Macaca mulatta: one gene and its partners. The protein of the gene in region 1 interacts with the protein of each later gene in a pairwise test. Links are inferred from orthologs where the notes say so. Each region holds a gene or a part of one and is shown in the gene's direction. Other genes may lie near its edges. The genes, in order: PSTPIP1, protocadherin beta-14-like and UBE2W.

What was found.
Region 2: the proteins of PSTPIP1 (region 1) and protocadherin beta-14-like interact in binary tests that used the Homo sapiens proteins (3 or more experiments, as listed by UniProt). The two-hybrid records come from large-scale screens. The link is inferred for Macaca mulatta from reciprocal best matches to the Homo sapiens genes PSTPIP1 and PCDHB14.
Region 3: the proteins of PSTPIP1 (region 1) and UBE2W interact in binary tests that used the Homo sapiens proteins (3 or more experiments, as listed by UniProt). The two-hybrid records come from large-scale screens. The link is inferred for Macaca mulatta from reciprocal best matches to the Homo sapiens genes PSTPIP1 and UBE2W.

What each region holds. Positions count from the first base shown.
Region 1 is NC_133412.1:55,136,161-55,140,516, forward strand, and holds the start of PSTPIP1 (proline-serine-threonine phosphatase-interacting protein 1), read left to right. Parts: upstream 1-1,473; coding exon 1,474-1,499; intron 1,500-1,765; exon of another isoform or gene 1,766-2,075; coding exon 2,076-2,277; intron 2,278-4,356. UniProt on the Homo sapiens protein: Involved in regulation of the actin cytoskeleton. May regulate WAS actin-bundling activity. Bridges the interaction between ABL1 and PTPN18 leading to ABL1 dephosphorylation.
Region 2 is NC_133411.1:150,059,977-150,064,137, forward strand, and holds the start of protocadherin beta-14-like, read left to right. Parts: upstream 1-1,294; 5' UTR 1,295-2,197; coding exon 2,198-4,161. UniProt on the Homo sapiens protein: Potential calcium-dependent cell-adhesion protein. May be involved in the establishment and maintenance of specific neuronal connections in the brain.
Region 3 is NC_133413.1:84,394,163-84,397,809, reverse strand, and holds part of UBE2W (ubiquitin-conjugating enzyme E2 W), read left to right. Parts: intron 1-2,362; coding exon 2,363-2,518; intron 2,519-3,647. UniProt on the Homo sapiens protein: Accepts ubiquitin from the E1 complex and catalyzes its covalent attachment to other proteins.

The sequences.
Region 1 (4,356 bases):
TCCTCCCATTACTTCCTTCCCCAGTTGCTCCAGCCCATCACCAGCATGGCCCTCCATCCGGAGCTGCCCTGGCTGGACAAGTGCAATTGGGAAACGAAGGCCTCATGTGTGGGAGCCTTGAGGTTGGCTTTGAGGGGTGGGAGGATTTGCCAAGGTAAGGAAGATCAAGGAAAGCTTGCCAGAGGGGAGGCTGGGAACAGAGCAGGTGGGAGTGGGAAAGGTGCCTCTGGGGAGAGGGAAGAGGCCTGGCCGGAGCGGAAGCCTCTGGGAGGTGATGGGAAGGACACCTAGAGAGGCAGGGCAGGGAGCCCAGCTGTGAAATTTTCTGCCAATAAGAGGGCAGGAGACTTCTGTTAACAGAGGGTCTCTACACTGCTCCAGACCTAGAAGCATCATCCCATCTGATGGATGGAGAAACTGAGCTCAGGGAGGCTGAGCCAGTGCTATCAGAGGTGGTGGTGCCATTGGGAGGGGAGGTGCAGCCTGCCTCACTCTATGGCCTACAAAGTTCAAGGGGATTTTTACACTGTTAGTTATCTTCAGCTGCAAGTAACAAAAAACCTGACTGGGGTGCCTTACAGATTAAAGGTTAGCTCAAGTCCAAGGTTTCTGGAGGTGAGGGCCTTCTGGGGGCAGTCCCATTGCTCTGCAATTCTCCCCAGAGTGTTTCCTCTTGGGTGGCTATTTCAGAGACTGGGTGTGCACCTCTCTCTAAACCCTGGGCATGCATAATGGGCACTTGGGAGCTCAGCTATTTCATCTGCAGCAACTCTCATCTACTTACCACCCCGTCAGCTGTAAGGCAGACATCAGTGAGGGTGGTGATCTGTGGACAATCCCTGACTCATCCCATTTTGCCAGCCTGCCCTGGGCTCAGGACTTCCTGCTGCATCTTCTGCTGAGGGGGCAGGGCCTGGCTCCTCAGGGCTGGGGTAGGGGTTCTAGTCCAGGGCTCTTCCTCAGGTGGTACCACACAGTGCCCCCAGCACCTGCACACCAAACTGGAAATTCCAGAAATATTCTTGACACCGTCTCCTTTCCAAAGACTGGGTGTGGCAGATGAGGAAGCTGAGGCTCAGCGAGTTGGAGAGTCTATTAAGGTCCCTCAGCCCTTGAAGGGTAGGGTCAAAATGAAAAAAAACTGGGCCTCAGGCTGGGTTTCCAAACACCCTACTCTGTACCTTGATAATACTGTTTCTCTCTCCGTCTATTCCCATTCACTGAGCCGGAAGTCTCCATCTTCAGAGGGGGGTTTTCTGCCCCAAACAGTGTCTAATCAGGAGACTTGCGGCAGTGGCGGTGGTGGGGGGTGGGGGGCAGTGCCGGGGCCTCAGGCTGTTCTCCCTCATCTTGCTGCCTGCTCACCTCACCTCTGTGTGCTCACAGCCCCCCAGAGCACAGCTGTGTCTGCCCCCAGACTGTGGGACCCTTGAGGGCAGGACCTGGTTCGGGTCCCGGAGCAGCCGGGTTTTGATGCATGACAGATGCCCTAGGCCTGGGTAAGCCCCTCAAGAATGGTTTGCTTGTGCGGGGTAGAGAGCCTGGCATCTCTGGGCCCAGCCTGGAAGGGCGCTGGGCTGGCTGGCCAGTGACACACCTGGGGTTCCTGGGCCCCTCCTGGCCACACTGTCGGTGGGCCTCAAGCTCCCTTAGCATATGACCTCTGGAATAGTGAGCCCGCGCCTCTGGAGGGGCAAGCAGAGGCAAGAGCAGGATGGCAGGTGGCAGGCGGGGCTGCACAGGGGAGCACAGCAACTCCACTTCCTGTGGGCGAGGGCCCCGCGCCCGCCCGGGGGGAGGTTGCACAAACCTTCCTGCGCAGGCCTCGGGCTGCCTGCCTGCCTGGCCTGAACTCCAGCCTGCCTCTTCCACTGGCCACTGCCTCCCACACAGGGCTGGCATCCCTGTTCCCTGCTCTGGGTCCCAGACTGTGTCCTCCATCACCGCAGGGTCGGCGAGGGGCTGGGCTGGACACCAGGGCCCGCCCTCCCATCACTGAGCTCCACTCCTTCCTCATTTTGCTGCCGATTCTAGCCCCAAACAAAACAGGTTGAGCCTTTTCCTCCCCTCGGCAGCTCCTCTCTGGCTCATGGCTGCCTTCTGAGTGCTGCAGACGGCGCCGGGCGGGAAGGGGGGCCTGGGCCAGCCCTGCCAGGACTGGGACGGTGCTGCTGGCGCCTGGCCCTCCATCAGGCCAGCCTGTGGCAGGAGAGCAAGCTTTGCCGCGGCAGACGCCTGAGGATGATGCCCCAGCTGCAGTTCAAAGATGCATTTTGGGTGAGTGAGGATGGTTGGGGGCACTGAACAAGTGGAGCGGGCAGAGCTAGGCTGAAATCTCCATGCAGGTGATGGGGTGCGGCTCTGAGAGGGGAGCTTTCTCATAAAATAGTGGTTGATTCTTGGTCTTAATAGTCATGGAGGTGACCCGGGCCCCCACCCTTCTGGATTGGAAGGCAAGTGGACTCCATGAATGAGGGTCCTCCTTTCTGCTGCCCCAGCTGTATTCTCCTCTGGGAGACCTCTCCCCACAGCAGGAGCTCCTCAGCAGAGGGTAACACATGGGTGGGGGCTTGAGGAGGATGTGTGGGGCAGCAAAGGAGGGGTCACAGATTTAGAGACCAGACAAACTTGGGTTCAGGTCTTGGCTCTGTTACTTATAGGCTGGGCAAGTCATTTCTGTCTCTGAACCTCAGTCTCTCCATCTATATAATGGGGATAAATAAAAATCAACACACCAACTAAAGCATTGGATCAGCAAGGGGATCCAGTGCACTAAAGACCCCAGCCCCTTGCCTCACTCCAAATGGTAATTCTCTTTCCCTCACCCAGCCCCTTGTCCCTTGCAGACCTTAGGGATCCTTCAAGGAGGCAGCCAGGCGGGCAATTGCTTGCTTACTTTCTTAAATTCAACACAGGCTTAAATCAAGTCATTTCCCCCATGAAATAAGGGCGCCCAGCCAGTGGTAGAGGTAAAGTGACTTGGCCCGGGCCACGTGGCCTGCAGCCCAGCTTGGACCCCCGGATCATCTCAGCATTTTTCCAGCTGTCCTTCAACTCCCCCTCTGCCCCTCAGCTCCAGCTGTGCCCAGGGCTCTGGGGAAAAGCTGAGACCTCTCTGGTTGGAGCTGGGGAATATGGCTGTCCTGGGGTGCTGCCTCCAACCCCGAAGAGGACTCTCTGGCCCTCGGCTCAGCCGGCTGAGCCCCAGCCAACTGCCCTGCCCTCCCTGGGCCCTTTCCTGGGGCTGCAGCCAGGAGGATGAGAGCCACGGAGCCAGGCCTTCCTTCCCTTCCGGCCAGCTCCACTTGGGGCCTGTGGCCAGCGTGTGAATGTTCTGCTTCCTCTGCACTGACTGCACAGTAGGCAAAGGACCCCACATGGGGAGGGCACCCTGTGCCTTTCTGGGCCTCAGTTTCCCCATCTCTACAAAGACAGGGTGGGCGCAGCCCAGAGAATCGAATGGAGGCAGAGCTGCCTCAGCCCATCCGGAGGACCAGGCACCAGGATGCTCAGGGCCCAGGCTGGCAGCTGGAGCCCTGGGTGGTGGGGGTTGTGAGTCACCACCTTGCTGCCCTGCCTTGGTGTGCAAAGTTGGGGGAAGGGGTAGGGCCTGGAAACCCAGTCCACTCTAGCCCAGGGCAGGCCAGGACCCCTTGACTATCTTATCACCGAGACCTCTGTCCAGGCCCAGAGCCTAGTGCAGAGCTGGGCAAGGAGCAGCCCCTATGGCAGGATCTGGGCACAGGTAGGGGTGGCGTATAAGGGATCAGGGTGTGGCAGCAGCAGCAGAAGCAAGCAGCCAGCGCCTGTGGAGCTTCCTGAGCGGCATCCTGCCCACACTCTGAGCTCGTCGCACCTCTGGGCTTCCTGGTCTCCAAGTGCCTGCTCTCCTCTGTGGCTGGCTTCCTGGGTCTGGGGTGGGCATATAGTTTCCCTAGGGAAGGCCAGAGCAGGAAGGGGAGAGAAGTAGCCAGTGGGAACCTTTCACACTGAGTCTGGGCCGACGCCCCGAAAGGTCACTGTACGCATCAAGGCATCACCTGCCCCAGGGCTCTGGATTCTAATACCTCTTCCTGATGCTCAGCCCATCCCAGTGCATAACAACTAACATTTGCTGAGCACAAAAGATGTGCCAGGCGCTGTTCCCAAGATGAATGCATATTCACTCATTCAATCCTTCAAACAGATGCTACTGTTCTCTCTCTTATTCAGATGAGGAAATTGAGGCACAGAGACATTAAGAGACTTGCGCAAGGTCACACTGCTGGGATTAAACCCTGGCAGGCTGGCTCCAGCACCTGTGTTGTCGCAGGATCCCTCTATCTTTCATATCACTGGATCTTTTGGCTTCGGGGT
Region 2 (4,161 bases), on another chromosome or scaffold:
GCTTATTTTTCTTGACTTTTCTGAGGCATTTGCAGCTGTCGATCTTCCTCGTCTCCTTAAAATGCTATTTGCTTTTGATTTCATGGTTTTGAACTCTGAGCCTTCTTTATCTTTTCAGATATGCTTCTTGCCCTGTCTCCTCTAAATGAAGATGTTTCTCAGACTTCTGTGCCAAGCCTCTTCTATACTTATTTGACACACTTCTGCTTGGTTATCCTAGAGCATTCATGGTTTCAATCACCATATATATATATACACATATATACTGATGAATCCCAAAGTTCATATCGTCAGCCCAGGTTTATTTCCTATGCTTTGGTTATAGGCAAACACACACACACACACACACATACACACACACACCACAAACACACAAACACACATCCTACAGGCGCTTACCTCAATATCAGCATGTTCAAAACTGACACTTCATCTTTTTGCACCCCAATCATGTTTTTTTAGCATTCCCTGTCCTAGCAAATGACACCACTAGTCATCGAGTTTCCCAGTCCGGAGGTGTGATATCATCTCTGAGTCTTTCCCCTTTTTCTCCCCATGCAACCTATCAACCAACAGTTGAAAATATTTCATCTCCTCATACCTTTCTACTCATCCCTCTTCTCTGTATCCGCACTGGCATTATCCTCTTCCAGACTACCATCATCTCTTATCTGATCTCCTTGATTCTCCAGTCTTTCCCCCTGAAATTAATTCTCCATACTTCAGCCAAACTGATTTTTTAAATGCAGATGTGATCATGTTAATCAGACATTTAAAACCCATCTTTGTACTTGAATTACATTTAGGATAAATGCAAGAACGCATGATATGACCTGTATAATGATTCACATTCTCACCCTGCTTTCAACCCTAATTTCATTATTAGACCCTCCCTTTCCACAGTTTTTAAAGTCCAAGGCATACTTCACTTCTCTGTGTTCCTCAAAATGCCCATCTGAAATATTCCTCCTTCTCCTGGCTAGTTCCTTCAGATCACAATGTATTATTCATTACGTCAGGAAAGCTTTCACTGATGTCCCAAGTCCTATTTAGATCTTAATTATTTTATTTTTGACAGACACTTAACCAGCACTTACAAACCACTTGGTAAATATTAATTCACTAGATGCCTATGATAATAATCATGGGAGGCAAATATTATTATTACCCCATTTTACAGGTGAGGAAACAAAGATATCTATAACTTGCCCAAGCTTATAGTGAGTTACATAACCAGGATTCTAATATTGATAATTTGGTTCCAGATCCCATATTCCTAAGCACTAAAGTATGCAGCCCATAGGTACAAGAAGCCCTTTCTAGATATTTCTATATTACTTTTTACAAATGCATACATTACGACATACTTCATTTACTTGTCTGCCAATTTTTCTAGCTTGTGAGCTCCATAAGAGCAAGGATTATCTCTAGCTTATTTGTGCCATGTCCTTCTTTGTATTTTCAAAATATGAAAGTGAAAAAAGTAATGACATTACTATGATTGACAACAAGTATTTACAAGAGTGAAAGAGAGAATATATTTGTAATTACTCAAGAAATGACTTAAATAAAAAATTATTTCTTCAGTTCAGAATATTTTAACAGATCCTTTAGTGTCGAGCATTCAAAACAGTGATAATGCAGTGTATAGACATTTTCTGGATTCAAATTCAAACAAACCATCAGCAAAGGACGTTTTGGAGAGAACTGGGGAAAACCAAATGCAGGATAAATTACATCGAGGAATTATTGCTCAAGTTGTTGATTGTGAACGTTATGTTGCAATTATCTTTTAGAATGCCTTATCTATTAGAAATACTTAGTAAAGTATTTAAAGGTAAAAAAAAAATGTTGTCTGGGATTTGTTTTGAATGTTCCGGATGTATTTATGATTTACTTTTTCAAAGAGGAAAACTTTTTAATGAAAAAAAAAAGAAAAAGAAAAAAAAGAAAAGCATAGAGACACATGGTGGCGCTACAGGATAAGACGAAAACTGTACATAGGCTGGCACAGTGAGCTTCGCTATTCAGAACAGAAAGCATCCAACCCACTGAAAAGACAGGCATTAAAGGAGCTTTGCCTACAGAGCTGCTGGAGGATACACTGTCCAGGGGGTTCCTATTAAAAACCAGAGCTTCAGCTTCCAAAATTAGGGCTGAGCTTCAATTTTTCCACAAGAGGTTGCCTAAAGGAACCATGGAGATCAGAGGGTCACTCGATCTACGAAAAAGGCAAGTTCTAATATTCCTTGTTTTGCTGGGATTGTCTCGGGCAGATACTGAATCTGCACACTATTCTGTGGCAGAGGAAACAGAAATTGGCTCATTTGTGGCTAATCTAGCGAGGGACCTAGGGCTGGGGGTGGAGGAGCTGTCTTCACGTGAAGCCCGGGTAGTGTCTGATGATAATAAAAAGTATTTGCACCTTGATTTGCTGACTGGGGATTTGCTCCTAAATGAGAAACTAGACCGAGATGAGCTGTGTGGCTCCACCGAGCCCTGTGTGCTGCATTTTCAGGTGGTTTTGGAAAACCCTTTACAGTTTTTTCGGGTTGAGCTGCATGTCAAAGACATAAATGATCACTCCCCTACATTCCTAGACAAGGAAATACTTATTAAAATATCAGAAGGTACCACTATTGGAACTACATTCCTAATGGAGAGTGCTCAAGATTTGGATGTCGGAAGCAACAGTCTCCAAAACTACACAATTAGCCCCAATTCTCACTTCCACATTAAAATTCCAGACAGTAGTGACAGAAAGATATACCCAGAGCTGGTCCTAGATAGAGCTTTAGATTATGAACAGGAAGCTGAACTCAGATTAACACTCACAGCACTGGATGGTGGATCCCCGCCCAAGTCTGGGACAACTTTGGTTCTCATTAAGGTGTTGGACATCAATGATAATGCCCCTGAGTTTCCTCAGAGTCTCTATGAGGTGCAAGTCCCCGAGGATAGACCCATTGGCTCCTGGATTGTCACCATCTCAGCTAAGGATCTGGATGCAGGAAACTATGGGAAAATATCTTACACATTTTTCCATGCATCAGAAGATATTCGTAAAACATTTGAAATTAATCCAATATCTGGGGAAGTTAATTTGAGATCACCCCTGGATTTTGAAGTGATACAGTCCTACACTATAAATATTCAGGCAACAGATGGTGGGGGTCTTTCAGGAAAATGCACCCTTCTAGTTAAAGTTATGGATATAAACGACAATCCACCAGAAGTGACCATATCATCGATTACAAAGAGAATTCCAGAGAATGCCTCAGAGACTCTAGTAGCTCTTTTTAGTGTAGTAGACCAAGACTCTGGAGACAATGGGAGGATGATTTGCTCTATTCAAGATAACCTCCCCTTTTTCCTGAAACCGACCTTCAAGAACTTTTTCACTCTAGTTTCTGAAAAAGCACTGGACAGAGAGAGCCAAGCAGAGTACAACATCACGATCACCGTCACAGACTTGGGGACCCCCAGGCTGAAAACCGAGTACAACATAACCGTGCTGGTCTCCGACGTCAATGACAACGCTCCCGCCTTCACCAGAACCTCCTACACCCTGTTCGTCCGCGAGAACAACAGCCCCGCCCTGCACATCGGCAGCGTCAGCGCCACAGACAGAGACTCAGGCACCAACGCCCTGGTCACCTACTCGCTGCTGCCGTCCCAGGACCCGCACCTGCCCCTCGCCTCCCTGGTCTCCATCAACACAGACAGCGGCCACCTGTTCGCCCTCCGCTCGCTGGACTACGAGGCCTTGCAGGAGTTCGAGTTCCGCGTGGGCGCCACAGACCGCGGGTCCCCGGCGCTGAGCAGCGAGGCGCTGGTGCGCGTGCTGGTGCTGGATGCTAACGACAACTCGCCTTTCGTGCTGTACCCTCTGCAGAACGGCTCCGCTCCCTGCACCGAGCTGGTGCCCCGGACGGCCGAGCCGGGCTACCTGGTGACCAAGGTGGTGGCGGTGGACGGCGACTCGGGCCAGAACGCCTGGCTGTCGTACCAGCTACTCAAGGCCACGGAGCCCGGGCTGTTCGGTGTGTGGGCGCACAATGGCGAGGTGCGCACCGCCAGGCTGCTGAGCGAACGTGAGGCGGCCAGGCATAGGCTGGTGGTGCTGGTCAAGGACAATGGTGAGCCTCCGCGCTCGGCCAC
Region 3 (3,647 bases), on another chromosome or scaffold:
TTTGCTCTTATCACCCAGGCTGGAGTGCAATGGTGTGATTTCAGCTCACTGTCACCTCTGCCTCCCAGGTTCAAGGGATTCTCCTGCCTCAGCCTCCCAAGTAGCTGGGATGACAAGCGCGTGCCACCACTGCCAGCTAATTATTTGTGTTTTTTAGTAGAGACGGGGTTTCGCCATGTTGGCCAGGCTGGTCTCAAACTCCTGACCTCAGGTGATCCACCCACCTTGGCCTCCCAAAGTGCTGGGATTACAGGCATGAGCCACACCGAAAAATATCTTTAAAAAAAATAATCGTGGCCAAAGAAGAAACTCTTGGGTATTGCTTGTGTTTTAATGAAAATATCCTAATTATCAAATGGCTTTTTATGGCAAAATGAATACCCCAAGGCATGTATCCGTAAGATTTGTAAACTCCCATTCTGTACATCTACAACACATGGGAATATCAGATGCATATGATGTAATAAACTATAGTTCATATTTATTAAAAATAAAATTTCACTAAAAAACACTTGTGGACAGACTCCAGTGTGGAACTATAAGACCATTTAAGCGTTTGTTTTCTTTTACAGAACAGTACTTTTTTTTTAGCAAAAAGTAATTAAGAGGGTACTAGCACTGATAGATGTAATTGAGATAAATGGCATGCTTAGAGCATAGCCATTACAAAGTCAAAGTCCTTTCAGGGAGTCTTCTGCAGTTAGGTAGGATAAGTGACTTGATTTCTCTTATTTTGAGACGTTACTTTTGTTTTTTAGCTTTTTTTTTTAATTAGTGGGAATGGAGGGTTGATGTCCAGAATTTAAAGAAAAGAAATACATGCAAATATGGAAAATCGTTCCTTTGGGGAAAAAATGCTCTTTGCTGTCTTATCTAGTCTTAGTCAAGGAAATATGTCCCATAGGTTAATATATCTGAAATATTAGAAGACTCCTACTCATATGAAAGACTGCTTTATTAACATGTAAATCTTTGTAAAATTGTAACAAAATCAGATTCATAGCTAGATATTGAAAATATATATAAAACCTTAGCTTATGGTAATTTCCTATAACATATTCCATATTAAACTATAGCATACCTTATTCTATTCATATTTACCTCACTGGTTCTTTTTTCTGCTCTATAAAGAGAAAAAAGGGTATGCCTAAAGCAATACTGTATATCTTTTATTGTTTGTGCTACAACTTAAGGTAAGATTTCTCCTTACTGATATTCTGCTGTACTTGGTGTGAGGCGGTTTGCAGGGCTGAGAGAGATACTGTAAATCTGATTTAGGAATTGTTGGTTTATATCTGATGAGTTCTATAAAAATCTCATCATACTTACTAAATCAGAATCTGTGAAAGTAGGACACTGGAATTTGTATTTTTAAGCAGATATTCCAGCTATGTGGTTTTTTTTGTTTTGTTTTTTTGTTTGTTTTTTTGGCAAGGTCAGGAATTAGGAACTACTGCTAACCTGCAGAATAAATACAGACACAGTGTAAACATAAGACTTCTGCTTTCTTTGAGCAACTTTGGACTATGCTTACAGATTCCTCAGGATACATGAATTTATTCTCCTGCCTATTTGCTTAGGTAAATAAGTTTAAGAAAAACTACTGTAAGATATTTGTTGAATTATTAGAGCAAAGGAATGAAATAATAGATTTATTACCATTCAAAACATTGCTGAGACAAGATAGAGAAAGGAAAAGTAGTGTTAGAAGAATTGAGTAAAAGGAAAAGGAGAGTAGAACTGCAAATTGGGAGACTTGGTCAACTTTTGTATTTTTCGTCTAGGCACGTAGGTATTTACTGATTAACAGCTAGTAACTTGTGCCCATCATAATGGATGTGTAAGTTTAGACGAGGTGGAATGTATAACAATCATTTCCCTTTGCCACATGCACCTTAGAGCTAACATTGTTAACAGGTAGTAGTAGTAGGAGTGTTCCTACCACCTGTCATTCATATTTTCCCAAAATTGAATATTTTTGTTTGGAATTTTAACATACTTGATTTTTATATGCAGAGAGCAATGAAGAGAATTTGAAAAATCATTCTTATAAATGTAGTTGTCTTTCACTAGTGAAAAATACGTAGTACTTTAGAATTTTTAAGGATAATTTATCAAAAATAACAGAAATAAAAAATAATGTGGCTTCTTTTCCCTACTACGTGGTTATTCATTCAGTGAAACCAATACTTACTGAGTTAATGAGAGTAAACAAATAAGCAGTTGTTTATCATGTTCCTGGCACTGATTTTGGTGGTTTTTTTTTTTTTTTTAATAATGAATACTTGTTATATGTGGAGAATATTTTAGTTTTTGGTAATAGAGAATATTTGAGTTTTAATGGAATTTTATTCTCTCTTAGGTCATGTTTACTGGTGAAAATATTCCTGTTCATCCTCATGTTTATAGCAATGGTCATATCTGTTTATCCATTCTAACAGAAGACTGGTCCCCAGCACTCTCAGTCCAATCAGTTTGTCTTAGCATTATTAGCATGCTTTCCAGCTGCAAGGAAAAGGTAGGACTTTTCAGAATTATTCCAGATAGTATCTCTTCTTCTTTCAGTTTAAGTAGATAAATAATTTTAATATGTAATTCTCTTTATTTAGAGGAAGGACTTATGCTTTTTATCTTAAAATTATGGGGAATTTCATGTTTAGTAATAAATTCAAAAGTTATTTTGATACCTTTCATTCCAAATAGAAGTTTTACATGTTGAATGGGGTAGAAGCCAGATTTACTGTTTTATATTTTTTTAAACAGGAAATGTACGGTATGTTCTTAAATCTGATTTTATTCCCAAAAGCATGCACAGGGTAAACGTGTACAAGAAATTCTTTTTGTAGATTTCACAATGGAAAGCCTCAGAAAAGTGCATCATAGCTTCCTTCTCCCCTCTGCCAGCTCCCACCCTATCAGCCTGTTTCAGGAAATTTTTCAGGAACCAGAGCTTTCCTGTCCTAATGATTAGGTTGAAGGAGGAAGACTAGTTTACCAGTAGAATTTTCAGGATGTTTCTTCCTGTTCTCCTTTATTAATCCACAGATTCTATGTCTAATGGAAGTGGGGGGAGGGAAAAACAGAAAGAAAAAAATCACTTATGAAATTTAAAATGTAGGCCGGGCATGGTGGCTCAACACCTGTAATCCCAGCACTTTGGGAGGCCTAGGCAGGTGAATCACCTGCGGTCAGGAGTTCGAGACCAACGTGACCAACATGGTGAAACCTTGTCTCTACTAAAAATACAAAAATTAACTGGGTGTGATGGTGTATGCCTGTAATCCCATCTCCTCAGGAGACTGAGGTAGGAGAATCGCTTGAACCCAAGAGGCGGAGGTTGCAGTGAGCCAAGATCACGCCACTACACTCCAACCTGGGCAACAGAGCGAGGCTCCATCTCAAAAAAATAATAATAAAATAAATTTTTAAAATATATATATATAAGTTTAGGATACCCTTTAAATGTGTCTGAATCCTCTGTGCACTTCTGACCTTCTTGTCATTCCTGCTTAAGGGTTAGTATAGCATAACATTTATGTATTTCTACATTTTAAAACCCCTCCTAAATCCCCATGAGGGTTTCCTTTTGCATTCTGTTTTAAACAGCTTTGCCCTAGAGGTTAGGGAGCTATTTGTGTTTTACAATT